4 linked regions of the Lepisosteus oculatus genome follow. The protein of the gene in region 1 interacts with the protein of each later gene in a biochemical or structural test. Links are inferred from orthologs where the notes say so. Each region holds a gene or a part of one and is shown on either strand. Other genes may lie near its edges. The genes, in order: ripk1l, cradd, OTU domain-containing protein 1 and tnfaip3.

Region 1 (7,885 bases):
ATTTTTAAAATTGCCATCTACTTTTGCAAAATCTTGCAATCTTGCTTAGAGTGCAGTTTCAATCCATTTCAATCAGAGCAAAGCCATTGGTTTCACATTTTAACTGTTACAATAGCTATCCAGGTGGGGCCTGCAAGCTTTTTTATTGGTCAAAACTGAAGCCCTGCACCCAGCTGACAATACACAGACGACACCCTACTGACACGGGGAACTGCATTTCAGATTTTGGCATTCAAAGTTTTGAACCCCAAAAATGTAAGCGTCCACCTCAGTGCAAGCTAAAGGTATCTTGTTATCCTAAGAAAACAAGATGTTGTTCTATTCCGATTCGTCCATCATCCTGGCCAGCTTCTCCAACACCAGTGAAAGAGGTCCACAGAGAATAACAGATCCTGAACAGCCACCTTTAAAACACTGCCGAGTCTGACTTACTCATTGCGTGGTGGCCCGGTGTAAACTGTTTTCAAGACCACCAGAGCATGGCTCTGATGGTAGCACAGGAAGACTTGGCCGAAGCCGCCATAGTCCAGGGGTTCCTTCTTGATGAGGTCCGTGGAGCTCATACGGATGGACTCCAGAGCCATGGCTCCGCTCTCCAGAAGCTGCTCTACAGACAGCCTGCGGAGAAACAACGTGGCAGAGGCCTCAGTACGACAGTAACACGGTGTAACGTGCAACAGCCTAGTACACAACGCAGTTACAGTACACGTGTCTGCTTTTGCCCTCAATTCCAAGTGCTTCGCGCCCTCCTGTCACCACACAGCAATCACAATGCTACCCACGTAACCTTCCCAATTCGATCCCTCCAGGCTTCGCCGAGCACTCGGAAGAACCGTCTGAACAGTTCTTTCTTCATGCTCATGCAAGCTTTCCAATACGTTTAGCTTCAGCTGAAATCGATGACTTGCCACATACCATATAGCTGCCAGCCAAGCCAGGACAAACACACAACTGGCTACAGCAAATCAGATGGGCTGAGCAAGAATACCTGGGAGGTTGCGAATGTACGTCTGCAAATTTGCCATGTGTGAATTGTCTCAATGAAAGACATACTGCTCCTTTGAAAATGGGAGGTGCGCTCTTCATACTTTGGTATGCGTGATCGGGTTCAGTTTTTTCGTTTCTGGGTTACACAACCTCCCCCTTAGGTCTTAATTAATCTTATTAGTTATGAAATAGAATCTAAAAGTCGTTAATCTTGTTAAAATGTCCCTCCTTTGCTATGACGTACAACTGCAAAAATAAGGGCACTATGCGCTATCCATGGTAAAACCACACTATTTAAGAAAACATTAAATTTGTTAAATACAGTTTGGAAACGAAACATACGTACGTATGGGAGATATTTGTAATCGAGTATTTGTTCTTAACTTTTGTCTATTTCTAATATTCCTTTGCAAGAGGAAAAACTTTTTGCGTATTCGCAGAGAACAAACCAGGAAAGTTTGACGAAGCAGAAAAGTGCCTACAACCTATAGAAAAGGCTGTGAATATTCACATAATAATATCGGCATTATTAAGTATATTTTACCTTTAAAAAGACTAGCATATTTAGAAAGCGTTAAATACCGGACAGGTATTCAAAACCAATACTACTGTCAAACCAGTCGATACATCTATCGTTGACACGTCCAGTTCACAAAATGCCCAGCCTACAGATGAGACAAAACCGTTCCTACATCCCCCGGAAAAAGACATCATTATTATTAGCGTTTTATTTGAAACGGAATACCTTAGTTCCTACATCATACAAAAAGGGTTAAAAGCAAAACTATTTTTCTTTACAAAAAAAAAAAACTCTTACTCTGCAGAGGACGATTAATCGGAAAAAGACCATTTACGAGAGTTTCACTTACTTTTACGCATTCCCCCGTCGTTTAAAGCACCTTTTCAGACTTCCTGTTCAATATTCGGGTCTGGGATCAGACAAAACGAAACCCAAGAGCAAGAGGGAAAACCCACTGGTGTCGATTCCTCAGACACTAACAATCGACACCGAGCAACCGATCTCCACTCTCTTTTGCATGACCCAGCAATACTGAAGCGTCCTACAGAGCCCGAACAATAGACTGGCAAACTGAGGGTTTGAGGAAGAACTGTACTTTAAAGATGGATAAGATTACAGCAGGAAAATACAGCTCTGTTTCCGCGATGATCAGAGAGTCCACTGTTTATACTCCATCTCCCAGCATAATCACCGAATTAAAAGTATCTGTTTGGATATGATGTCGGTTTACCTATTTTTTAGCCTTTTAATAGTACTGATACTAATAACGACAGCGACAAAGCACTAATAAACCTCATGAGTGCCGGTAAAATAGAGGATATATAAGCGTAGAAGTATACAGGTATGCATGTATATAATATAAAGGTAACCAAGAATATGTAAAGTAACACAAAAAGAAAATAAATAATAACTTATGGAGGCAGATGTGATATTGGCTGTGTGTGTGTGAAGATGTCGTGCAAAACGGTTCCACGCTCCCGGCAAACACGCGTGGGTGGAGCTGGAGGCAAGGTCCAATTCCGTGTCTGAGATCGAGAGGGGTTGAAAGCACAAACCTTTTTTTTTCTGTAACAAGAACCAGCTGTTTTAAGGCCATCCTGCTTTGGAAGGAATACAATTTAATAGGTAAAGTTATTTAAGGTTGTGTCAAGGACCGGTCAGCATTGCGAAACACGGCGCTAAACCTACCGCCTGGCTACAATGTGTCCGGGGCTGGCAGCCAGGTGTGAGACAGACCACCCCACGGCCGCAGGGCGGCGCCCTTCCTTTGTCGAGCGGACCAGAGCGCAGTCCACGTCCACGCTGTCACAACAAGCTCTCAGGAACGGGAGGCGAGACGTGAAAATCGATCAAATAAAATTCCTGAGAAGACTGCGGCGCCGAGACTGTATGAGCCGTCTGAGTTTAACTAATGACGTTTCCCGGAGACCTCAGAAAGGGGCTGGGAAAAATGTATAGCCCTTCGCAAGTTCCCTGGATTGCCCGAGACGGTGTTTAATATGCTTATATTAATATACTTTAATAATTATAATAAACTGATATGTTGAGAAAGTAGGGGTATACTGTTAACTGAATGGTGCATTCCCAGCGAATAAACAATAAACAGTCTGAGAATATTGATGGTTTGCTTCTTCTCCTTGCGCCTGCTGCGGAGGGTGGGAGAGCTGTATTTTGATGAAAAACTGAATGGAACTGCAGGCTCGCCCTTTTTTCCCACCCAAGATCCGTGGTGTGACGGTAAAAAGGTGTGAAAAAGAGTGTTTTCTCTTCACCGATGTCTACGGTTTCAAAAAGGAAGCAGTGAATCGCGATTCTGAAGCTTTTCAGAGCTCGCTGGCGCACAGCCCTCCAAAATGTGGAGTCTCTGTTCTGGGAGAAAACATCTCGGCCGCACACTGTACTGTACGTGACCACGGCTAACCAACAGCCGTCACCACACCTGTCTTTTTCAAATATACTGTATATAAAAAGCACGAACTTATGTCAACAATACAGATTAATTTATGTATTCATATTCACAACATCTCATGTATTCATATTCATAGCATTTAGAAAATTAGTATTCTAATATTCAGTATAAATATTAGAGTTTAAGATATTCTTATTAGACCTGTATACTGTAGCAGTCTGGAATTCACCGTTATTTTTGTTTTGTCTTGTGTAGTCATGGTTATAGTGCGACATGCTGTTTTATCTTCTTGTATTATTCTCTTGATGTTTTTACCAAGATTACATTTTGGAAGATTGTGTGGATTTAAAAAAAAGACATCCACGAAGGACTTTGTAAGGAAGGGAGCTGGGGAACACCGATTTGTTTTTGTCGCGCAGGGTTCGGCCGAAAGTGTCCTACAAAGCCCGAACAATAATAGACTGGTACAGTGAGGGTTTGAGGAAGAATTTGTACTTTAATGTTTGATAAGATTACAGCAAGAAAAAAAAATCAGTTGAGTAGAAATGGGCAACTCCATTTCCTCGATGGGCGGAGAGTCCACTGTTTACACACTCCATCTCTGAGAAGAATTAACGAAATAAACTTTAATTATTAAAGTATCTGTTTGGACATGATCACCTTTTTGTAGCCTTTTAAGAGTTGCCATTCAAAAAGCTGAGCGAATACCTTTTGACGAACAAAATAAGATTTACTAATACAAAAAACTTCAAGAATAAGCACAATTTTACAAAGAGGGACTTATACAAATAACTATTCAAGAAAAGGTACACTTACAAAGAGGAATGCCAAAGCAGTAAAAAAGAATCTTCGTTGGTAAAACGCAGTTTGAATTTTGAGGAGGGAATACACTTGTTTGATTTATAGCACCACCTAGTGAATTCGGCTCCAAACGCTATTCAGATAACTACACTTCTGAAGTTGTCATTCTTTCCAAAACAAATTCTGATTAAAATACAAAATAACAGCAAGAAATGGGTGAACGTTTAGCTGAAGAAGACAGCTGAAGGAAATATCTGTTTTTTTTAAGGTATCTAACTGAAAAGTTATGGATCACACACCGTATTGCAATATTTTTTTTTAACTGAGACTTAATGTTATGTATCATGCCACGAACTGCTTCTATTGACATTTGTATTGTGTATTTGGTTACTATCTTCTAGCTGGCTTTGAGCAGATCTGGTCAGATAAAGCTAGGCACACTGATCCTGCTCAGTACTGGTGTGGGGAGTCTCCAGGGTGATCAAGCAGGTGTTACCCTTGACCAGAATACCCAAACGCGACACCTTAGCCTGTTGATTGGGGGAACAGTGCTACAGGTCGTAGCATTGTAAACGTGGGTTTTAACGAAGACGACGAGGTCCAGCAAGAGGTATAGGCAGACGTTCATACAGCCAAGACACCAGCAGCAAAGCAAGGCTGTTGGGTCTTACGCCATACTGCTTTCTCCCGCCTTACCGGAACAGGAATGACGCACAACAGCCTTACTACGCATGACATGACGCATGTCACGTAAAAACACTATAACTAAATTAAACAAAACACATGGCTAACTATGTTTACTACCTGTTACAACTAACTACATATCAGTATTATTATTTGGCTTCATCACTCTATTCTCCTCCCCACTGATAGCTGGTGTGTGGGGAGCGTACTGGCGCACTATGGCTGCCGTCGCATCATCCCCGTTACCTGTAAAGAATTTTGAGTGGAGTGTCCAGAAAAGCATTATATAAGTGTAAGGGATTATTATTATTGAAAAGTTCATTCAAACTCCCTGGATCTGTAAGAGTAGAATGTCCTGAGGATGAGGACTTTCATCTTACACAATCAGACCTACCTGAACTGAAATATTGCTTAATTGAAAGATTGCTGGCGCACAACGGCTGCCATGCTTTTTCTAGGAGTGTGATTCACGTCAGATCTGGGTGACGCGGCTGTACCCCTACAAGAAAAGTCTTTAAGGAATGGATTATTTATGGAGCAGAATCGTTAGATGCTGCTTATTAAATCAGTTTTATTGTTCCTGTTAATGATTCTAGTTTTATATTCTGTATTCAGAATATAGTGTACCCGAATACCTGTTTTTCATCTTCCAAACGAATTATTGGCACTGTCGCCCTCTTGTGGCTAAGATTCTTAAGTTCACAAAAAAGACGTGGACGTACTGGATCTGAAAATAATTATTTCTACATACATGTCATCAAAGCTTATTTCTCTGACAATACAAATGAAGGTCTGCATATAAAAATACTACAGAAAATCTAACATATTTATACATTTCTGCTTATTTAAAAGGGGGTTTGGTGCAACTTTCCCTACGAACACCCTTTGGGCTGTTTACCCGGACCACGCCCCCTCGAGCACCTTCGCCACGCCCCCCTGTTAGTCTACCAGCCCTGTTCCTCGTCTCCTCCCCGTGTCTGTTCGCTCCCTTCCGGGTTGGGCTGTCTGCATAGTGTCCTGAAAGACGCTATGCGACACTTAGATCGCAAAAAAAAACCAAAACAAACCTGCAACAAGAGCAAATGTCATCTTGTTTGCAATTTTTCTTAAGTTGTTATGTTCTAAACTTTTCTGTAGGGGTGTCGTCGTTTAGTTTTTAACTATTTTTTGACAGCTGTTGTAGTGATGCCATCAGAGCAGTTTAATTTGCATCAGAGCAATTGAAATTTTCTGTGTATAGTATTCCAAATGCTCTTTATATGAAACGCTGTGGTACCATGAGGTACTGTACATGATAGATGCAATATATTTGTATTACAATACACCAGGAAGACGTTCTCCAGTCGCAGAAGGATTGTTTCCAGAGGATTATGCTTTCCAGGGTTCAGCAACAATTTTAATACCTGGATGATAAAGAAACTTCGATGCATGTAGTATACATATAACTGACACAGTACATATAACGTGTTTGCACAGTTCTTTTCAGAGGAAATTCGAGAGTTAAAATGATTGGAAACGGAAGATGCAGCAGTCAGGTGTGAGAATATGAGTTAATCTCTGTCCCCACTGTTACACTCCTTTGAGGTTTACAGCCATTTCTTTATCAGGGCGTTGTTTCCTTTCTAGAAAACAGTTAAAAACATTAATGAAAATAAAAATGAAAAGTCACCATCAGCAATACCTTGTTTATCTAACGTCTTTTCATCATTCAAAACTTTAGTTTCAAAATGCACTGTGTGGCCATTAATATAAATAACGGCCGTGCTTTCGGCACACCTGCTGCCTTTGCACTGCTTTCCAATGTTTTCCATTTCTTCTTCCACAGAGTTGTTCATGACAGTGAGCTGCAGAATTATGCAAGTCTTCCAGGGCCAGGCAGAATGGTAGGTGATATCAGGTGATGCCGTGATTTTTCCACTGCTCTCTTATGCCGCGGAATATAATTAACGAAGGCCTCCAGTTTCACCTGTCCACTTTGAACAAACGTGACTGTCGTAACCGTCCCTCCTGCATTGTTGTTTTCACTAGCAGTGGGATACCCCCACCCTCCACACAGAGACACCCACGTTAGAAAACAAGTCTGTTTTCCTCGGCGCGGGGCACCTCATTCTTCCATATCCTCCGCCACACCAACCCCTTTTTGCATCTCAGAACCATTTCCTCAATGTACAGCTGCAGCAGTCTCATGCCCCCCCCGCCTCCCTACCATTTCCTGTCGGACGCCCACAGCGCTGCGCAGAGCATCTCGAAAATCCCCTATATCTCGTCCCGTTCATGATTCAGCACGCTCCGCGCCGTATGAAGGAGCATTCTGGGGTTTTCCTGTTAACTTTTCGTGACCTTCTTCGGTGCCAAAGAGCTGCGGACTGGCGATTGCGTCAATCCAGACCACACTGTTTATGTTGTCGTTCTCTTTGTGATTTATCGCAGCGGTTTTTCTGAAACCGTGAAGAGCAAAATTTAGATACCTGGAAATTAAATGGGGCCCAAAAATCTGATCAAAACGCTTTTTCTTATTGAGTCTTGTAATCAAACAATTACATGGAACTTGAGATTGGTATTTATGTTTTGAATAAGTAGAATATATCGCCTTTTTATGTCCAATAACAAATAGAATCATGCCCACTAAAGCTTTTGATTCATGTAGTCTTTTTCTAAATTTTGCGTCTTGTGTTGAGTGTACAGTTCAGAAGACCCCATAGCCCACTCAAATCTGAATGCTCCGCATGTTGACTGTGCAGGAATTATGTCATGCGTCTGAAATATTCTCACTTCTCCCTTCACAGATTCAGTGACTTTGCTAATTCTAAACTTGTCTGAGATACAAGAAAGGGGTGGCAGGTACACAAACATCTCACTGATTTCTCTGAGCTTTTTAAAGGGATACCTGGGGTGAACTGATGCAGGCTGTATGGAGACGTCTGATCCATGCCGTGAATGAATAGTGATGGTCCTGTAACTCAGTGATTCAGCATTATATAGAA
Region 2 (7,666 bases), on another chromosome or scaffold:
ACCTGCAGAGTCACCTGTCAGCCCCTGTGTTGACAGTACAATCCTATAGTGCCTGACAGGAGAGTCACACTAATTCTATCAAGTAGAGTAGTAGTGATCTGTGGACTGTGGTGCATCTCTTAGTCAGGGGCAAGACCCAAGAATCCCTGTTTGCCGGAAATGCGAGAAAGCACTTCAAGAATTCACCCAACCCTAAACCTGGCAGTGCCCTGCTCATCATATGCTGCTGCTTAGGGAATAGTGACACGAACTACATTCAGACGAGAAATTTTGGCATCATGGTGTCCAACCAGGCATAGTGCGTTTTGTTTTAAATACACTCAATGATAACGACACGCCTACATTTAAGTATGATCACAAAATCTGACATGCAAAAAATGCGAGATCATTAAGATAGAATATCTTTTGTCTCTAAGAACGGACCGAAAACATGAACCGGAAAAGAATAGTCGAACTAAAAAAGTTATTTTTAAAGATAGTACACTACTTTGGAAGTGTAATAAAGTATACGTACATTTCTCTGCTTCTTGGACATGCATGTCATGAAGGGATCCAAATTTAAGCTAAAGCACCCACTTATTCAATCTTCTTTTAGGGGGCCGTTCTCTGAGCCCCCATTAATTTACTTGTTATTTTTTTTTAAATACCATTTGTTATTTATAGAAGTATTCCCTTTATAAAAAGGGTGTTACAGGGGTCAGGGGTAAGCGAGATCATGCTGCCAACACCTGGTCAATGTATACTGCAGTTCTTTGTTTAACAAGGACAGCACTCAAAGGATTGTGACTGCCCTACTTTTTTCTTCCAGAACTCTGACCTAATTTATACAAAAATCTGTGCGCGCAAGACCCTGAATCCTTTCGGTCACACAACCCCAAGCTCCACTTCCTCCCTTAAAACGTAATGGCTGTTGCCAGCGGTAGTGGGAGCCAGCTGTTTACGTTTTTCTCAGTCCTTTTCGATCAATGGGACAGTGCCATTTAGGTTATGGCCAAACAAACAAAACCACTGCTGAAGAGCAGCCCGTTCCATGGTTGGCACCGAAACTTGTTTACTGGAAATGGCATGAATCACCACTGACAGGACACAAACAAAAGCGTTCCCCTGTCGAGGAACTATCAAGGACACCACCACTCTAGATCACTGTTCCAATTCAACAACAAAATATATTAATGATACATCTACACACAGCTCTACTAAAAGCAGTCAGACGTTAGATAAAACTCCTTGTTAAACTTTTTAAGTTCCTGAATAAATTCAATATGATCAGAAAGTTAATTGCCTACGGTGTCACGAGTCCTGTATAATTAGGAAATATGTATTAACTTAAATAAAAACCTGTCAATTTTGTAAACTATACGCATAAAAGGGGTATTTAAAATAGTACACAAGGAATTTAAGTTCCCCAGTGTTTACTAAAAAATGTCCTAATTTAATTAAGATATTGGGTTATTGTACAAAGACAATGAGCAATACATCTTGTTGTAGTAATTGCGGTAATCATAACCTTGAACTCTGGATTTTTAAAATGTCTAAGAATACGTTAGCATCAACCGAGTTCAGTTAAATCCGCAATTTTGTTAAGACATCCCTACAGAAGGAACCGAGTTGCATCGCCAAAACCTGCCGCACGACAATGTGCAAAAGTGCAGATCATCTCAGCGAGAGAATCGACGGATGTTCAGTTCCGTCATTTAAAAGGAATGTGGTTTTGTACCAGGAACGAAAGCAAAGAGGGAAAAAAGGACATTTAAAATGATAAAACAAATTAAAGACAAAATATAAATATGAAAACAAAAATGAAACAATCATATCGAAGAAAACTGGTTTTGACAGCTTTGAAATATATTTGGTATACATCGGCGATGCTTTTTTATGGCCTTGGAACGTATTCATTTCAACTGACCTCTGAACAGATTAACGGAATCTTTTTTGCAACGTTGATTAAATAAAGGGTAATGATTTAAGAAGGTGGTGATGTAAGACAGCTACAAAAGTTGCACCGTTGGACTACTGCTCTGCAACGAAACACATCCGCCCACTATTGATCGAGTATTTTGCTTTTGCTTGTACGTCGGTCTGTTTACCACACATATAACTAAGAAGACTTCACATACGCGTTAATGTGGAGTTTAAATCATGGCACTAGTCTTACCTGTTGAATTTACTTCACTAGTCGCATTCTCTAAATCCTGGAGCAATTTCTCTCTCACCCACGGAAACTCTTCCTTCAGAGACTCCAGAAATGTTTCAAACGCCCTTGGTCCTCTGGTGGGGAGAATCTCCAGCAATGCGAGTGTTTTCTGTTTGTTTGTTATCCGGGATCTTATTTCCTCCACATGGCTTTCTGTTAAAATATTTTCTTGATACAAGTATTGAACTATGGTGGTGTCAATTAATACGAGCTGATTAGAAAGCTCCAATCTGTGCTCTCGAAGAAATTGTTTATGCCTGCGATCCATTCAAGACGTTTATCCGAAAACAAGTCACTATTTCAGGAGTATATCGATGTTTTTAGGCGGCGCTAATTTTCTGTCTACCGCCGTTTTCAAATAAAAACTGGAAGTTTATTTTTTAGTTATCAGTAAGCGCCTACAGTGCCAGTTTCTTCCAAGCACGCCAACTACAATACTTGATTACATCCTCAAAACAAACTTCCAGGTAAAGAAAGCACAAACGGTATGCTTTTATTATGAATTATGAAAAACACGTGACGATATTAAATTCTGAGATTGCCTAATTATCCTTAGGTAAAAATGAATGACAGTGCGTTTGTTCTCCTTACACCACAATACTCTCAACTTTTGTATACAAAAACCCTAGCGTAACAGTTAAATTCCTCCCTACTGAAACTTACACTGATCGGTGAGATTTCTGTACTCATTTTTTAAAAATATTTGAAAACATGTTTCAGTAGAGACCACTTCTTAAGCCACAAAGAGCTATACAGTATATTACATTTCTAAAACTAATTTAAAAATAAGGGCAACCTGTTGTACACTTTTTCGAACGTATTCGTTTAGCTTTTGAGTAAGCATTATTATGACCTTCGGTGATAGTAGCTTCTCTACACTTAGGAAATTTCGAGCTGTTCTGATTTGTCAAACTGCATTTTCGTGTGCAAATAGTATCAGATCATAATGTGTGATTGATATAACATGAGTAGAAAATATGCATCATTTGCAGGTTACAGTAGCAAGCTTATTGTTCCGTCTTTAAAATGTCCAGTGTATTCTTTCTTGTTCAACTGCGTGGGTTAATTACTTTGTGTACTTGTTCTTACAAGTCTTTGTTTTTAAAAATATTTCGTGCGTTGCTGCTTTAAAGAAAGTTTGGGTTTTGTTCTGCGGCAGCCTTGAGCTTTTACAGAGTTTGACAGATCAGGCGGGAAACACATGACGAGGTCTCTGATGGGACCACAATCACTGCTATAAATTTCCACTCTTTAATTGTATTACCGAAGCCCGTTTATTTATAGGCTTCTGAGTAGCTCGGTGACGGGACGAGAAGCTGGTGGGAGCGTATCAGAGTGGGCTCAATATAATAGGTATTAGGCACACACCTGTATCACCTTTTGTATTTTCCTTTTTGATTTTGTCTGATAAAATAGTCTATGCATTGATGCATCTCTTACACCCAGAAACCGCATTACCTTACAGTATATGTCTGTAAATGTAAAAAAGCTGATGTCACATTTAATCATGTCTCACTTTTATCTTACCTGTGGGAAAGACAGATATCAAAGGCATATGAGATACATTGTTGAGTAACCTGGTGGGAGGGTACAGTATGTAATATGATCTGGCTTAGTAGATTTGCCAACCTTTAAAGAACTTGTTACAGATCTGGATTTGCAAGTTAGAAACTTGAGAGTTGTTTTCCTGAAAGGCCTCCAGTGATTTATTGAAGTCTTACAGTGGAAAACAGTCATTCTGATATTTTGGTAAAGAATGCTTTAATTCCCTCTGTGCCTTGAAGTCAGATTTGGTAGTTTTAGAAAAGTAGCCTGAAAAAATCCCATTACAGGGAAACATTTACTAATTCAGGGGGAAATAAAAGCATCTTGGTGAATCTGACAAGTATAACAATCATTTTACACAAGCACCTACAAATACAGACCAATCAAGTCATTTCCATGCAATGTGTCGACAACCTAAACAATATTTTTTAATATGTTTTTGTTACAATACATAAAGCACTGTACAATAATACATGTATCAACCTTGCAAGATAGTACAACATTACAGTAAATAGATCCAATAAAATTATATCCTAAAAGATAAAATAGAAAAATAGGTATTTAAATTAGATTTAAAACAGTTCACAGTTGCAGACTCTGTAATGGATCTGGGCAATAAGTTTCACAATTATGGTAGTGCACATGTGCAGGCTCTCTCACACATTATGTTTACTGGTCTTATGTAAAAAAGACACCTGAATTAGAAGATCTCAGATTAAGAACTGAAATATTCTCAGGCAACATATACTGTACTTTAAATAACCTGGAGTTAGACTGCTAAGTGTCATATGCATAATATGGATAACCTTGAAATCCATTCTAAATTTCAAAGGAAGTGAACAGCTGTGTAGCTCAGGCAGACTAGTTTTATTTAGCACTTAAACCAATGAGCTCTGGATGTACTAAAACTTATTTAGTATCTTAGTTAATACTCCAGTAAGAATCACAATACTGTTTTCTCATCTTGATGGAATAAGGTTTTGTAAAATTCCAGTTTCAGATAGAGCAAAGACATTAACCAGGCAATGTATGCAAACTGAGTTTTTCTTGAGATGTTTATAACATGAGCTTCAAATGACAACATAGGGTCAAAAATAAAACAAAAGTTCAATGAAGGATTTAATTTTAGGATTGTGTACAACTGTGGTTGTTTTTGTTCTTCAGAGTCAATAATAAAATAATTATTATTCCTAAATAATAATTGCTTACACTTATATAGCACTTTTCTTGATACTCCACTCAAAGAGCTTTACAGGTAATAGGGACTCCCCTCCACCACCACCAGTGTGCAGCCCACACCTGGATGATGCGACGGCAGCCATAGTGTGCCAGTACACTCACCACACACCAGCTATCAGTGGGGAGGAGAACAGAGTGATGAAGCAAATGCATAGATGGGGATTATAAGGAGACCATGAATGGTAAATAAACATGACATATAAACATAAATACAAAATTATAAACATAACAATAAACATAATGTATTGTTAGAAATGTCCAAATCACTGTTTAGTTTAAGAAAGTTGTATTGTGTGTTAAACACAATAGTTTAGCTTAAGAAAGTTGCGTAACTTAATATCCGACAGACGAGTATAAAATACAGAAACTGGAGTAGTAGCATCTAATTTAGGAGGAAAATAAATTTGACTATCATGAGTATTATAGTGAAACCCTAGTTCATGATGATGAATAATCTAGCCAAGACATAACCTATGTAAAATAAACAGGAACAGATTAGAGATGGAAATGTTTGGATCATCCAGAATAACATGGACATTAACAGATTTAGAACAGCAAAGGTTTATGAATTGACTCTTGGAGCCAAACCCATGAAGGGGAGTATAAATAATCCCTAAATCATTTTCCATACAATGAAATGGAATGATTGATAACATCAAAACCTACACTTAATTCCAGAAGCAGAAAAATAGTGGTCCAAAGTGAGAATCCATCGGCAACTCCTGAACTACAGTATCTTAACAAGGGCAGTTTGCGGTACTGTATCATTGTCTAAAGTGCAGCTGGAGAGGGTCAAACAACTCACTAAATACAAGATAAAATTGTAATTGTGCTGCAACCACCTGTTTAAGACTATGAGATTTTTTGCAATTTTGGCTTCAGACCAGTTTTCTTCGACACAGTTACTGTCTGATAGCAGGAAGCCTGAAACCTGGTCTTGTACTTGAAGGATTAAAGGTTAAGGATGAGGTTAGTAACCAATGGATAAAGTGGAGAGAATCTAGATTTGAGTAGCTATGTACTGTAGGAACAGTGGCCCAAGGTAGAAGGTCTCAGTTTAGATACAATACCTTCTCAGTCACATGAGACCTACATAAGTAGAAGCAAAAACAGTAAAATGAGATAAGCCCAAACCTGTGAGAGCATTGATTATTAATATTGTGTATTTCATTGTGAAAAATTGCTTTAAAGTATTACGTTGTTCAGTCGGTGTGTAAAAACCAGACATATTAAATTGTAAATTTTAATGAGGTTACAAATAGGAATGTGGGCTTACCATGACCTTTCTCAGTAAGACTTGGAAAGAAAAAGGATCTAGCAGCCTTCAGAGCAAACGTATAGCACAGCTGATGTTGTTCATCAGTCTAAAATGATTTGGTTGGTGCCGCATTTCACTTAGAACAAATCACCTTAAAGATCAATACAATACTCTTGTAATCAGAGCCTCTTAATATAATGGTTGGGGTTTGCAGAAAGCTAATCTTTTGAAGTCGCTTACCATAGAGAGTTTAGGAATAGAGACCATATATGCAGACATTTTGGGAAATTAGCATAGACAGCCCACACACATCCCTTGGGTGAATAGTGGTGACAATGTGATCAAACAGGAACAACATTGCAGCTCTAAGTATTATTATAAACAAACCTGCAACCAGAGACACTTGTGTTGGATATAGACTTTGCAAAATTCCAAGGGTACAAGAGTGGTAAGAACATAAAAGCAAAAGACGCGTTGACAACAACAGGAGGCCATGCAGATTAGATCTCTTATTAAAATCCTTTGCTCTAGACTGGAGAACCTTAGCTCCATTTAAGCTGTCATTCATACCGTTCTTCTATGAGCTCTTTCTAAGATTATATTTTATTTTGTGGAATTGTGTACCAATCTTTTACATTCCACTGTTTAGAAAGGCAGTCATGGATGTTTAGAAAGGAACAGTGTCCTGTATATGATCAGAAGCTCTGTCACCTTGAGACAGGTGAAGAGACTGTGATTATTAGTCAAAAGACAAAATTACAGTGAAAGTGTCGAAAACATATCAGTGCTGCTGAACAGCCAGTCCAAGTTATACATAGTATCCACTACAGCCATCTTGAGTTGGCCGCCATCTGACCAATAAGAAGACGACACCCTACGCTGTCCACAACAGCAGTGCACACCTCAGCAGCAGCAGCAGTCTCTGACAGCAGACAGCGGGTGTTAATTGTTTTTAGTCTTCACGGCCACCTATCCATTTGTAAAACACATTCATTACAAGGCTTATATACTTGCTCTTTTCTCACTGATCAGAAATAATATATTGCTGTTTCCCAACTTTTTGTAGGGTGCAGTAAGGCATGACGGTGCAGTAATTAGCAGTACTGTCTTGCAGCTTTGGGGCCCTGGGTTCAGTTCTGGACTTGGGGTGAATTTTGTATGTTTTCCCTGATGCGAGTGTACATCTGTCTCTGTCTGTGTGTACCCTGCAATGGACTGTTCTTCTGCTTGTTGCTTGCTGGGATAGGCTCTGACTCCCCCATGACCCTGTACTGGATAAGTTAATAAAGCGGTTAATGAATTGCAGTGAAAGTTCCCCTTGCCGGGTATTAAAAGCTTTCTGCTACAGAATGAGTTTAATGCTTGAACAATACCTTTTGTTTTTTATACATAGTTTATTTCCCCACATTTCCTACAGTATAACTGTATAT
Region 3 (7,382 bases), about 50 Mb from region 1:
AAGAATGTAGAACATTCCTTCTCTCCTACACAACATAGAAGTGAAGTTAAATTAGGGGGGGCTCCAATAAGGTGGATGCTGCACATTGGTGGTGGTGGAGGGGATCCCCATTACCTGTAAAGCGCTTTGAGTGGAGTGTCCAGAAAAGCGCTATATAAGTGTAAGCAACTATTGTTATTATTATTATAATTTCATTTTATGATACCAAAAAAGCAAGAAGAAAAACAGGTAACCAACTTGTGCTGGTTGTTCTTAGATTTCATATTGTAATGCTTACGGCCGACAAGCACTGTGTGTAAGAGCCGGCGTACCAGAGCGGGTGACGTCACCGCCCTTCCCTGTGATAGCAGGACTACAGCGACTGGGCTGTGGAGAGATCTCTCTTTAGCTCACGGGGCTGGGTCGCTGCAGAGAGACGCGGAAGTCCCGGGTTCGAGCCACCTATACTTTGGGCCGACCAGATGCGGCAAGGGCGCCCGCCTGAGCCCCCGTTGCGTTACAATATTCAGGTCAGGGTGCAATATAATCACTCATTGATAAATGCAATGCATAACTATTTTAAAACTAAAACATAGTACTGATAAAAGTCAACGTCTGGAAAACAGTAGGCTTTGTCCACACAGCCTGATATTTGGCAATACCGACATTTATCAGTAAGTGGAAGATTTGGAATTTTCTCTTGTGTGGGAATAGTTGGTTTTACCTCATTCGTAATATTTCACAACATTGTAATGACCTTGGCATTATTCCTGTCAGCTTTCACGTTGGTGGTGTCGAAAGTGCTCCTACCGCCATTATTATCATTAAAAATAATACATCACAAACCGATCCTCCCAAAATGAACAGCACAAATAGTAAAAACGAAACACCTTAAATCGTCCAGAAAAATTAAACCTTTACTTCAAAATGATAATGCAACCACGAAACAAAACTTTCAGTCTTACAATGGTACGTCTCCGATCCAGCAATCTACTTAGAAAAAAAATAGTATTTAAAAAAATAAGATTCAGATCTTCGATACAAAATACCGCGCTTTCAAGACAAGCAAACAGCCTGGAATAGAATGATCTTGCAGCAAAACAAGTGTTCGACCCAGCAAAACACAAAAAGGCAATTAAATAGACTCATTACGCAATTACCAATCAGCGGTTAAGTGTATAAAGTTTATAAATGTACACATATATAATTTCGCACACCTGAAAAATAAGTTGTCAAAAAACTGTTCTTTCTCTTCCCAAACTTCAGTCCTGTGCTTTATCTCTAGTTGGACTGGTACTAGTAACACAGTAATGTAAACTTCTTTCTTTGCGACCTCTACGCACAACGTAAGGAATCCGACCTGTGGATATAAATTCAGCACTTCCATACAAAAATAATGATAAAAAAATCTATACAACACGCAGGTGCACCGCAACCTTCAGTAGCTCCACGTGAATGCATTAAAAACATTCGGTTTAGAAAAAAATAAATTAAGGCAATTTCTGTACGGCATGTTGCATGCGTTTTAAAGTGCCATCAAACTGTGATTAAGGTGCCCTATTTCAGAAACATACATTTCGGTTTCGGACAGAACGCACAATTGTACGGTACGCCATCTCGGAACCCTAAGAGCAGGTCACGTAGATCCATTCTGCTCGATGTACATTTTGGACAGAGACGCCGCCATAGACTTGGCCAGTTCTTCGTCCCGTTTCCTCTGGACCTGCGCCTGCCTGCTCCAGCTCTCGTACTCCGGGTTGGGTAGGGGCCGGTCAAATAAGGCGTCGTAGTGTCCGTTGCTGAGCCAGCTTAGCCAGATGCTCGGCCTAGAGGGGTCCTCGTCGCCCAGGTAGTGGACCATGGTGGACACGGTGGGGCTCTCCACGCTGCCCCCGGTAGTGAGGTGGATGTTGATGTTCAGCATCTGGCCCATGGCGAGCAGCTCCGGATACCCAGCCCAGGCGCCGTCCTGGGCGGCGTTGATCAAGAACTCGCCCACGTCGCCTTCGATGATGGGGCAGAACTCGTCCAGGTGATCCGCGATGTGGTGCATCGTCTGCTCCCGCAGCTCTTTGTGCGCCGACTGGTTGCCGTACACTGCTTTGCTCACAGCCCTGTACAGGCAGTTCCCGTCGGGTATGACGTGGAACCTGTACTTTTCCCTCTCCTGGAGATACTTGTTCTGCTTCTCCACCTCGGCGAGATAGTGTGCCACCTGCTCGTTCTTCTCACCTCGGCTGCCCCCCACGCCGGGGGCGGAGGGCTGAAGGAGGCTGTCGCCTGGCGCTTCCCCGGCAAGGTCTGTGCCAGCGGGCTCCGTGCTCTCCTGGCAACGCCGGCCAACAAGCCGAGCTTCTGGAGACGCCAAATCCTCGCAGGCGTTTGACACCCTGTCGTTCAAAAGCGTGTCGGGCGCCTCGGCGTCGTGGGGACCCTCGCCCGGAGAGCAGGCGCTCTGGTGCCACTCGTGGTCCAGACCACTCAGGGCGCTGCCCTTCGTGAAACGCTTTCCGTCCGCTTTCCTGTCGAAGCTGATCATGTTGTGCTCCAGGACCTTCTGGTATTCGTCCAGCGCGCCCAGTTCGCCGTTCATCGTGTCGATTAAGTCCCCCAGCCACAGGGCGCTGGGCGAGCAGGAGCCCTTCGCGTCCAGAACCGGCGAGCTTGCCGGACTAGCGAAGTATGTTCCGGAGAGGTCTACTGCGCCACGTCGGGAGTCCTTCATAATCTGGACTGGCACGAACCTCTCCACCCCACCGGGCTTGGTAACCAGGATCTGAGCGGTGGAAGTGTAGTAGCTCGGCTTGCTCGCCGAGCTGGGAACTGGTTCATAACAGGAAAAGGCAGGCATCTTCGCGGCAGGCGCAGTCGTAGCCCCCGTCTCCTCCACTCCGTGTGCAGGAATTTGATAATCAGCGTTACTCGCGGCAACGGTGTTTGCAGTCGCAGTCGCTGGCGCGTTACCGTCAATATTTGCAATGGGAATCGAAACTTTGCAGGACGACCCGGGGTAATGTGTCAACGCGCTGCTGTAGAGCTGCATTTTTTTCCCAACCGCGCACCCTTTATATATGAAACGCCGAGGTCCCAGGTAGCCACACGCGATGATCCCGCCGCTCAAAAATAGCCAGTGTCATCACTCATCGCAGTCCGGGCCGTGAAGTTATTCCTGCGGCGCTCCTGATCCTAATTCCCGCTGTCACACACAGAAGATCCAACTTTAGCCATCTTGCGTCAGCGCTGAGCTCCGCTAATTATAGCCCGGAACAATGTAACCGGACCCCGGCTCTCTTCATATCCTCTTATAACAGAGTCCCCCCGGGCGCCTGCCCCGGCTGCTGACTGTGCAGCTGGAATGGGAACTATTTGATGTGTCACGGGACACTTTGGGGACTGCGCTCGGCTGGAGCTCTGTTTACCCCCCTAAAGCCTGTGGCGTCAGTGCGCTGGAATGCCAGACCCTCGCCAGCACTGACGGAAAACCATTACGCGTAAGTTACTAAACACACTGCGCTGACCTCAAGGGAGGTGGTGTTGGGGGGGGAGGAAATCAGGAAGTTCCGCCTCTACCGCGATCTTATTGGCTTTTATTTTTTATTTTTATTTACGCCGGCTTGCGGGCTTCACGGAGGGGAAGCGCGCAGAGACTGACACCAGCCTTTTGGCAAAATATCCCACGCTGACGGGGGTGGGCGTTCCCCCCTTGTGAAGTAGTGAGCATGGCCATAGTAATGCGCGTAGTGTTTCCACAACCTTTTGGCTAAAGCCGCGCTTTAAAAGACACTGCCGTCACCGATGGGCCATCTTCGCTCTGAACGGCATGTGCATCCACACGTCTATAGAAGATGATGGGCGACGGGATGTGACGCATTATTTCTCATGGGTGTCTCAGAGGGAAGACATTCAGCATCTGCTCACGTCATGATCAAACTAAGGACTACAGTGCGGTCCTGTATTGCCTTATAACACAGCCCTTTGCAGTTCTTTATGTTGACAGTTTTCCTTTTTTTTTTGTTTCGAATGTACCAAGTGATGTAAAACACTTTCCGAAAACCATAGCCTTGCGCTTGTCGGCTGGATGGTACTGTATGCCTTGCCCATCTGCAGTCAGTATGCTTCATTTTGCATTTGCAAAATAAAGACTGGTGTCACGCTGGATTTTGGGAAGACCTCGTTAAGTCCACCCATCAATTTGCTAACGTTTCCATCCAATTTAGGATCTCAGCAAGCAAAGGGCGCAAGGCGATAAAACACCCTGGGCGTGACGCCAGTGCCTGGGCCAGCCGATTGCAGGGCACACACACACAAACACAGATACACACACACCCACAGCAGGGTCGAGTTCCCCCATGAGTGTGGGAGGAAAACGGAGCGCCCGGCGAAAACCCACACAGGCAGAACATACAGACTCCCCACAAACTGCACCCCAGGCAGCCCTGGGCTGTGAGGTAACAACGCCAGCAACTTCACCCACTTTGTCAGTCGAATCGTTGTTATCATTTTAATTATGAAAATGCTCTAAATTCACAGGAGTTCGTTAGACAAAGGAAGCAGCGCAGAAGTAGAAAACATTTTAAAACTGTCACCACAGTTCTGCTGAACAATAGAGTATATTATACCATTTGTATTGTGAAGGATGGGTTTTTATTCCCTATTGTAAATGCTTCATTATTACTGAATTATTCAAACAACCTTCTAGCACTTTTGACTAGACTGCCCCATTTCTGAAATCCCTTTTATTCATAGGGATCCCTATCAAGTACAGTATAGTGATGTTACGGTTTTTATTATTTTTTATATAACTTTTTACGCGTTCATTTGTATTCCTTATTCCTTAATGCATTTCAAATAAGCATTTATTCTCAGAGGTTTTTCCGTTTCAGTCCCAAATGGGAGCCCGAATGAGAAAGTGTGTCAAAGAGCACACTGCGCCTTTCCTCCCTTAACACCACCGGCTTTGCACAAACGTAAATGGTCAGCGTACAGCGATCTGATCTGACTACATGACGGTGTGGGGTTTTTTTTTACAAACAGCAGCTTGAAACTTGTGTTTATACCGATAATAATCCTGAAGGAAATAAGGCAAACTGTCCGTGCCCATCGCTTCCTTCAACTCTATCCGGGTCTTGACCGCCGAGCGGGCGAGATCCGTCGCTATGGAAACCGACGCAAGCGGCGCCCCCGTGTCGATCACGCCGGTAACATGGACGTGCTTGTGCAGGGAAACTCCGAGGAGCAGGAGGAGAGACTGTATTCCTCAGAACTTCGGGATATCGAGAGGTATAAATCTTTGGTACTGAATGGGTTTTGATGGGTTTCAGTCTTTTTTTTTCTGTTGTCCGCGCTATTTCTGCCGGCAGTCGGGTTAAAATAAAAACAACCCCCCCCTACCGCCTCGCAAAGTGATGTTGTGCCTTCGGGTTCAGTTCAGATTATTTTTTATTTGGTTTTTACATTAATAACAGAATATTTTAAATAATATTAAACCTACATGCAATACAAATGATTATTTTTTTGTTCCATGCACTACAAGTATCATAGCTGTGATAGGTTACATATCGCATCAGGTTTATAACGTGTAGGCTTTAACTTTGTAGGATAGTTGTAGATATCACCCTGCAACTTACACCTGGCAGCCCACTGAAGCTCAGCAGGTGTGAGCCTGGTCAGTACCTGGATGGGAGACCTCCTGGGAAAAACTAAGGCTGCTGCTGGAAGAGGTGTTAGTGGGGCCAGCAGGGGGTGCTCACCCTGTGGTCCATGTGGGTCCTAATGCCCCAGTGATGGGGACACTATACTGTAAACAGGCACCATCGTTCGGATGAGACGTAAAACCGAGGTCCTGACTCTCTGTGGTCTTTAAAAATTCCAGGGTGTTTCTCGAAAAGAGTAGGGGCGTTACCCCGGTGTCCTGGCAAGTTTCCCATTGGCCCTTACTAATCATGGCCTCCTAATAATCCCCATCTATGAATTGACTTCATCACTCTGCTCTCCTCCCCACTGAGAGCTGGTGTGTGGGGAGCGTTCTGGCGCACTATGGCTGCCGTCGCATCATCCAGGTGGAGCTGCACACTGGTGGTGGTGGAGGGGATCCCCATTACCTGTAAAGCGCTTTGAGTGTCCAGAAAAGCGCTATATAAGTGTAAGAAATTATTATTATTATTATAATAATTATTATAACTGGATATTCTGCTGGAGAGTCTCAGGTGAAATATCTCGGTCCAACACCAGTGTGTCAAATGGGATGTCAACCTTCCAGTTACGAGCTGGACCACTGACCCTCCCCTGACCACTACTCCAAACACCAAACATTGTAAGATGTGTTAACTGTCACATTAATGTATTTATTTTTTCATTAACAACACGCGTTTAAAGGTACTCATTGGGAAATCAACTGAGATACGGTTACTTTGGAAGAGACGCCTCCACACAGACCGATGTCATTGAACTGCCAAGAGTGAAGGAGCTGTCAGAAGTCACCTGTACTTTACTCGAGGTAAAACTGTGCTCGTCACTGCTGAGACCAAAAGGGTAAAGTAATGATTATTAAGACATTTTCTTGTAGTCTAGCAAGCAAAATGTTTGCAAGGACATGTAAGAATGTGGTTAGGGGAAATGGATGAGGCGTACTTCAAACAGTCTAATTTAGTTCACATCCTAAAACAAAATCTTTCAATGTCGTGTATTATTACTACATGACTAGTGCCCCTTAGTCCATTAAACAGGATATTGTTATCAATCTTCAAAGGTTGTGGAAAGACCACACCATGTGCAATTTAAAGTCATGTGCACTTTAAAAAGTATATTTAAAGGTTCACCAATGTGTCTGGGTTGCTAATGGTGTTTGTTAATAGCGTATTTGTTTCCTTAAAATAATAATTTGAGGTTTTGTTGTTTGTGACGACTGGTGCTGCAGATTTGTCACTTGATCAAGGAAGTAGTCTGTTCCACTGCCATTGAAGTCAGCGTGGCTGCTTCTGGAACTGGCTGACTTCTCTGTATTGATGATGCATCAAAACAATAACTACTCTTTTTCTTTCAAGCAGAGAAAATTAACATTCAGAATTAAGTTTTCTTCTGCCCCTGCCTACGCGATTTTTAATTTTCTTCAGAGTACTGACTCATGCAGTCAATTATAGTTGTGTAGTTAAAGTTTTGTTTTATTTATGTGTCTGAAACTGGTAAATTGACTTTCCTTGAATTTGCAATCATGTGTTTAATCCTAAAGTTTCTTGAGACAGTGTCACCTGTTGGTCTGCCAACACCACTTAACACCAGCAGTGTAACTGGCTCACTTGTCTGTACTGGTGATGCAACAAAACAATGACTACTGACACTGCCATTGCCTGCTTCAGTAAAAGAAAGTGCTTCCATAATTATTGAGCAGTGCTTTAAAACGAGTA
Region 4 (7,232 bases), on another chromosome or scaffold:
ATCACCACCAATGTGCAGCCCCACCTGGATGATGCGACGGCAGCCATAGTGCGCCAGTACTCTCACCACACATCAGCTCTCAGTGGGGAGGAGAGCAGAGTAATGAAGCCAGTTCAGAGATGGGAATTATTAGGAGGCCATGATTGGTAAGGGATAATGGGAACTTTGGCCAGGACACCAGGGTTACACCCCTACTCTTTTCGAGAAACACCCCAGGATTTTTAATGACCACAGAGAGTCAGGACCTCGGTTTTATGTCTCATCCGAAGGACGGTGCCTGTTTACAGTATAGTGTCCCCGTCACTATACTGGGGCATGAGGACCCACATGGACCGCAGGGTGAGCACCCCCTGCTGGCCCCACTAACACCTCTTCCAGCACCAACCTTAGTTTTCCCCAGGAGGTCTCCCATCCAGGTACTAACCAGGCTCACACCAGCTGAGCTTCAGTGGGGTGCCAGCTGGGAGTTGCAGGGTGATATGGCTGCTGGTTTGTCCTGGATCTCTCATGGATAGTGTTCAGCTTGAATTATTTAGAGAATGAATTAGCGGGAAGGGAAATCCCTGACATTCAAATACGGTGCAAGAAAGGGAGCAATCAGCACTGCAGAGAGCCCCCAAGGAAATGGTTTCTCTATTCAGAAGCAGTAAAAGCAGGACGGTGATGCAATGATAAGGGGAACAGAAGAAACCACAGAGAAAGAGGAAATAGAGTTGATAGTACCTTCTAATAGCTGCGTCTAAGTGTGATTGCATACTACATCTCACAATGGCTTAAGATAGCATCACCACATCCCTTTAGATATGCCTTAGATAACAGCATAGGTGCATAAACGAGTTCAGTGTCTCACCTTGAGAAACCCAGGAATAACGTACGTTTTTATTCACATAATTTACTTTTCCTCCCTGTCATTAATGTTTTCTGTCTTCTTTCACTTCCTTTAAAAACTCAAACTCCACTCTACCTGTGAATCAGAATGCCGGGGACAGTTGTGTCAAAGTCCCTGCCATTCAGTGTACGAGGCTGAATTGCAGGCAGGCAGGCAGCTGCAGGAAATCCCCAGAACAGCGCTTTGCAATGCCTGAGGTGCTGAGGCTTCTCTGGAGTAGGTGCTGTGCTTTTTGTGCCATTGGGTTCTGGTTTGTTTGAAGAAATGAAGAAAGTCAGTTTGTGGGCCCTACTTCTGCTGCTCTTTCAACAGTAAAATACTCTTACAGCACCCATTCTGTTGAAAGGCACACTAATGTCACTGACAAGTACACTGACCTCTACTGACTGAAGAAATCTTCAGCACATGGGTATCGTGCACTCATACTGCATATTTACTGCATACCCTAACACCTGAAGAAGGCACCACAGCCGAAACGTTGTGTTTTCTTTCTTCTTTTTTTCCAGCATGGAATAAACCTATTACTTGTTCCTTTGCAGCCTACGCATGCTGACGCAGCTCCCCACCTGAACTACTACTGCATATAGTGGCTATTGTATTGGTGGGTAAGTGACTACTATAGGCAAATACTACAGGAGCAACAACTGACATGCAAAAAGATGACATTCAAGACTGGTCAGACACCTGGCACAAGACATTTAACACAGAGAAGTATAGGGTATTAAAAGCAGGAAGCAGAAACATAAACTACAAACATAAAGTGAGAAATACTGAGCTGAAGGGGCTTCTTATGACAAAGACTGAGGTATTTATGTTGACACATAATTTGCATCTTCTCTTGACAATGTGGGGAAGCTGTAGAAACAGCAAGCAAAACACTAGGATACGTTCAAGTGTTAAAAGTGGAGAATTTAAATCAAAGACTGTTTGGTTGAGTCTGGAGCTGCAATCCAGTCTGTAATCAGTCCATTGAAGAGCAACACCAGATACATTCAAGGGCATTCAAGGAAGCTGAACATTTTTGGCATTGAAAGAAGACTGCAGATTCCAGACCTCATCTGCAAGGTTGAGAGATGTGTGCAGACAAGGCCATATGTGGAGTTACAAGATCTTATGACAAGCATTGTGAATTTTATATCTTAGACATATTTGTTTTTTGTAGACACAAAAATCTTTACAACCCTTTTAAATGTCAATTTTATTCATTAATCATTCATGAACCATGATTATGTTGTAGCCCCTGAGGTGGATATTCAGTCAATGTTTATCTATAAAATATGCAAGATAAAGATGTCAAACAAGACAAATGTTTTTCAATTTGATGGAATTTTTCCTATCTGATGAAAATGCCTATGCATATTATAAGCAAAAACAAAAATACATTTTATAAGGGAGATACAGGGACAGCACACAATTGTAATTTAACATTATTTCCTTTTTGTTGACTTTCATGACAAAGACTGAACTATTCGCTTAGTGTTGCTCAGAGGAATAAATAGTTCAAAGCCCAGAATCTTCATTTCCTGTCACCACCTTGCTTTGTCTAACTTTAAAATGAAAATGGAACAATACTGATGCGATAGCAACGTGACAAGGGAAGTTTCAGTCAGCCTGTACCTTTGAAGTCCCTGCCCTAACTTCTCACCACAATTCCTTCCACCTTTCACAATGTTTTGTAAGCAGGTATGCAACACTTTCCACTCACAAAGCCAGTCAAATAGATGCACTACAGATGTACTGTTTGCAGCCAGATATTAATTTATTTCCAGAATCCAGGGAAACTAACACCTCCTGTGTGGTAGCTGAGGTCTGGAGTCACTGTAATTGGCTGATGTAAGTGTGGATCTGGCTTTGATTATAAGATAGGTTACAAAGGAGAAGAGCCCATTTAGATTGCTTGGACACTTTGCAGAAGTGGGAGTATACAAAACTTTCTTGATGTTACACAGCCATTGGTCTAGGGGAGAAGAACATTATTCAGTACATTAGTCATCATTCAGAAATCCGTCTGTTTTTTTTTATCCCGCGTTTCCGATGACTTCCTGACCCTGTCCCAGCAGCGCAGCAGGAGTCGGCTCAGGGCAACGGCATGCCTCCCTGCGCACACTGCGTGTGGGGGTGTGTCCAAGCATCCAGGCCCACCCAGGGTGTTGGGAGAGCCCACGCCCCCCACACCCAGTGAATCATTGCTGAACTCCCGTTGGACAGCTGTGAGCAACCCTTGATTACGAAGTTGTTGTGGGAAATTGTTCATCAAAGGAGCAGGATGTTCATCAAAGGAGCAGGACGCAGTCCAGTGCAGATTCAGTTTTTTAGAGCTCAATAATGTCGAAGAAAACTCAGTCTTCACTCAGGTTAGGAGATTGTCAAACACAGATCTTTAATACAATCAGCTGAAGGGGAGCATATCACAGAGAAAGGGTTCCCCCTAGCACTCAAGACATGCTCACTTTACTGAAGTTATACTTTCCTTTTTATACATTAAAAGTAGGCAAGACTTTAACATATCAAAGGAACATACAGGGAAAGGGGCAGTGTCAGAAGTCAAACAACCAGGACAGGAAGATGGCATTTGGCATCCTGCAGTCTGTTTCACTTCTCTCTGGTTGAATGGGTGTGAGGAATCACAGGCTTTAGTTTGCACCTAAGACAGTGGTCTTAGGTGCGAACAGAAAACCTTTCCCACGCATAGTCACTGTCTTGACTTTCTGACTCGGTCTTCCACAATAAGGACAGCAACACAATCGTTGGGTCTGCAGTGCAAAACAGACCTGTCCTTTAATAAATAGTTTATGTTGAACTACTTTGTCCTGTCCTTTGATATCCAGCAGGCATTGATCTGCTTTATCCTGTTTATGGTACGTTTATGGCTGTTGGTCCTGCATTTTGTTATGCTTTGTTATGCAGCGCAAGTTGCTCAAGCAAGCCAGCTTTATTGTATCTTAGCATAACCTTTGGTGAAGGCTAAATTAACAGATCCCAGCAATACTTTCCATGGTGTGGTTAAGTAGTAATACTGCAATGGTGGATACATGTACGTGCAATATTAACATGTCCCACTTTACATTGATTTGTGATGTTGAGCCTGAGGCAGCACAGCTCCTGTTCCTCTGCAGGGACACCAATAAACACCCGAAGGGACTGAGTTCAGGCTTCATTGTTGCCTGGCTACGGTCTTGGGATGAAACACGTTGTAAGAGCACCGCCCCAGCAGGGACCACATTCCGCAGACCCCTCTGGGGAAGGGGCTGCTCGCACAGTCACCTGACCAGCCGCAGGAAGGCAGGTGACTACAAAACAGGAACAGGAAGCTCTCGGAGGCTGTCTGTGGGCGTGGCTGTCTGCTGCTCCAGGACAGCCCCTGCGCGTACTGTACGTCTCGCCAGCGGAAGGACCGAGCAGGGAGCAGAGCGACTTTGTGAGTTCAGGGAAACGAAACCGAATTTTGTGGATTTTTGGAAATTTTGTGTAGAGTGTTGGAGGGACCGTGTTTGAGAATTTTCTGTGTTAGTGGCCGGTCAGCAGTGTAGCTGCTCGGCTTATATTAGACGGGGGCTTCATGAAGAATTTTAAGCAGAAGCTCGATGAAGAGCTGAGACTGTTTTGCTTTTGTTTTTAGGTGATGGTGTTAGGCGTTTCCCCGCCTCGTAAAATAAATTGCAACTCGGGCCTTTAAACGTTACAGCTGGGTGTTTTTGTGTGTTTTGTTGGCCTGAACCTGCCTGTGTTGAAAGATCGCGTTTTAAACAGTCACACCCCTGGTTATGTCACATTGCAACAGAAAGAAACTGCCACACAGCTCCTACAGAGACACTTTACCTCGGCGAACAGGTTGCTGATTTTTTCTCTCTCGGAATAGAATTTGTTTTAAAATTAAAATGATCATTTCATGGAAAAAAAAAAGTTGTTTTGTTGTTTTGTTGTGTAAGCTTCTGCCTGACTGAAATCTTCTTTTTATAGAAACTTTCCACAAATCAAGAACAAAGCAGAATTCTCCCCCTGGCAGTCCCTTAAATCATGGCATTATTTCTGCCAGAAAAACACAACCCCAAACCCACAGGAGAAAGGGAAAGTACTTTTAAAACTGAGGAAAGAATGCCGTTCTTTACACTAAGGGTGGTGAGGGTCTGGAACAAGATGTCTATTAGCTCTTTTGTTGAATCTTGATGTCCTGGCTTCTGTAAAAAAATGGTGGATTGAGATTCTCAGATCATTAAATCAATTAGATCAATTCAGATCAATTAGATACTAAAGAACTAGACATGCCTTATGGCCTATTCTCATTGTTTTCTTATGTTCAAGTCTAGCTATTAGAATGCAAACCCAAAAGGGAGATAAGGATTCTCTCTGTGTTACACAATATCCTGTGTGAGGTGTGAAAGTGGCTGGAGATGAGTTCATCAACACTCACAGCAGGCACAAGGGCCTCTGTCCACAAGGTGCTTTTCCTCTGATCATCACTCCTCGGAGATCAAGTGACCATCTGCTAGGAGGAGCTCAGTGAGCCCTCCAGGCATTGAAGAAGACTGAAGCTGAACCCGAAAGAGAGAACAGGGGGCCTGGCTGTTTTCAAAAACTGGAGGAAGTTCACTGGCACTTTATTGACTTCAAGCTTCTCCTTCAGATGGGGGCTGTGGAGTAACACTCATCCCCCGCAGAGTCTGAAAGACCCTGACACATTTCATCTTCAGTCTGGGACGTCCCTTTCTGTACAGATCATAAAATAATTTCCCTCAGCCTAACTCCTGAAAGCACCACACTGCAGAAGCGCATGCTCGCCACTCTGGTGCAGCAAGACAGAAATACAACTCCAGATCTCCCCAAAAACGCAGTGTGTTTTTTTTCTGGTATTTACGCCAGAGTGTGGAGGCCTACTGGATTTTTTTTTTTAAAGCTCGGGTATTTACAAGGATGTCTGAATCCGCCTGGCAGAATCCTGGTGACTAGCCAGCCAGTAGGAGTCGCGTCTGGGAGGAGACAGATTGAGTGATGTCCTGAGGGCTTGTGGGTTCTGCCTTCTGATGCCCTCCCCCGCTTCTAAAGGAGCAGAACAAGTTGCTGATACTGATCTAATAGTACAGTATGCGTGTGTGATCAGCTGTCTTTTTCGTTACCTTTCACTGCTGCCAAATTCGTACACGCTCACCCGAAGTAAAAGTGAAATATACAGTTTGTACGTATTACCCTTCTGAATATACAAATGTTGCTTGACTTCTGTTTTAAGGAAGACCGTTGGATGGATAGGAACACTTTTGCCGGGAAAATGTCATTTTGTTTTTGTGCTTTACAAAGCAAGCGGTCTTTTAATGCCTAGAATATCAGGGTGCTAAAATATTTGACTTTTTTATAAAACATCAAACTTTCAAAGGGAAAAGACACCATTAGTGGGGTTTTTTCCTTTACAGATACATTACGCATGCAGTTTATACTATTAAGAATAATGTGTTTTTCTTTACCGCTGGGCGATACTTTAGGTCATAACATTCCCTTAAAAATGAGCAGGGACTTCAAGATCTGAGATCATGCGTTGGTCTATGAATGGTCTGATCGTGTCCTTATGTAAGGTTTCTTTATGACAACAGACCAGCTTTCCAGAGTGTCTGTCTCTTTCTCCCCCTAGCGTTCGATGAGCGTATTTTAGTACCTCTAAAATTGTGCAAGCTTAAGTGGAAAGTCCCTCATACTGGAAATCCCCACCCGGGCTTTTCCATGTGAAAAAAAAAAGTCTCTAACTTATCTAGAGGTCGTTTTTTTTTCTTGTTTAGTTGACAAGTCTCTAGCCTGAGTGAGTGGAGCCTGAACCAAGAAGCAATCATACTACCCAAGGGATATGAAGGTTTAATGGCGTTTGGGACTGTGGGTTATACAGTCTAGAGCTTGGGGTTCAGGGTTACCTTTTTGTACAGTACAGCATCGAGGAGTTTTGTCTGTCCTAGATACATTGTAAAGGTAAGTTTTGGTAGCTTTTAAAATATTCTGTTCCAGTTCATTCGTTCGTTGCCGTTGAAACTGCGCTCTTGGTCGCGGTTACTTGTGTTAATGGTGTTAAGTGTTGTCAGTCCGGCACAGTTCTTATCCATATATGTGAATGTTTGTCTGATTTTTTTAAACGCACCGGAGCGATAACGCCAGTTCTGTTCACAAACTTCAGTCTGCAGTTAAACCCCAGACACGAGTGCGTTTTATGAAAGACGTGGTCTGTGAACCGGGCTGTAAGGGAAGATTGCTACAATTGCATTTTTATATATAACCCTTATAGGATCATGTAGATCAGTGCGTTTCCACGCGTGCACATCGTGCGGCACACTTTCTGGTGCCTGCTGTCACTAGTTCAGAACCGATT

What was found.
Region 2: the proteins of ripk1l (region 1) and cradd form a complex in vitro, tested with the Homo sapiens proteins (2 studies listed by BioGRID). The link is inferred for Lepisosteus oculatus from reciprocal best matches to the Homo sapiens genes RIPK1 and CRADD.
Region 3: of the proteins of ripk1l (region 1) and OTU domain-containing protein 1, one has a biochemical effect on the other in vitro, tested with the Homo sapiens proteins (2 studies listed by BioGRID). The link is inferred for Lepisosteus oculatus from reciprocal best matches to the Homo sapiens genes RIPK1 and OTUD1.
Region 4: of the proteins of ripk1l (region 1) and tnfaip3, one has a biochemical effect on the other in vitro, tested with the Homo sapiens proteins (2 studies listed by BioGRID). The link is inferred for Lepisosteus oculatus from reciprocal best matches to the Homo sapiens genes RIPK1 and TNFAIP3.

What each region holds. Positions count from the first base shown.
Region 1 is NC_090701.1:4,748,223-4,756,107, forward strand, and holds the start of ripk1l (receptor-interacting serine/threonine-protein kinase 1), read right to left. Parts: upstream 3,005-7,885; 5' UTR 2,696-3,004; intron 2,189-2,695; exon of another isoform or gene 1,857-2,188; intron 619-1,856; 5' UTR 585-618; coding exon 433-584; intron 1-432. UniProt on the Homo sapiens protein: Serine-threonine kinase which is a key regulator of TNF-mediated apoptosis, necroptosis and inflammatory pathways.
Region 2 is NC_090702.1:40,870,728-40,878,393, reverse strand, and holds the start of cradd (death domain-containing protein CRADD), read right to left. Parts: upstream 3,007-7,666; 5' UTR 2,463-3,006; coding exon 2,156-2,462; intron 1-2,155. UniProt on the Homo sapiens protein: Adapter protein that associates with PIDD1 and the caspase CASP2 to form the PIDDosome, a complex that activates CASP2 and triggers apoptosis.
Region 3 is NC_090701.1:54,988,273-54,995,654, forward strand, and holds the start of OTU domain-containing protein 1, read right to left. Parts: upstream 3,023-7,382; coding exon 1,616-3,022; 3' UTR 1-1,615. Other genes in the region: c6h10orf67 (uncharacterized protein C10orf67 homolog, mitochondrial), read left to right, coding at 3,349-3,470, 5,014-5,259, 6,355-6,475. UniProt on the Homo sapiens protein: Deubiquitinating enzyme that specifically hydrolyzes 'Lys-63'-linked polyubiquitin to monoubiquitin.
Region 4 is NC_090712.1:1,532,778-1,540,009, reverse strand, and holds the start of tnfaip3 (tumor necrosis factor alpha-induced protein 3), read left to right. Parts: upstream 1-4,225; 5' UTR 4,226-4,307; intron 4,308-4,849; 5' UTR 4,850-6,062; exon of another isoform or gene 6,063-6,838; intron 6,839-7,232. UniProt on the Homo sapiens protein: Ubiquitin-editing enzyme that contains both ubiquitin ligase and deubiquitinase activities.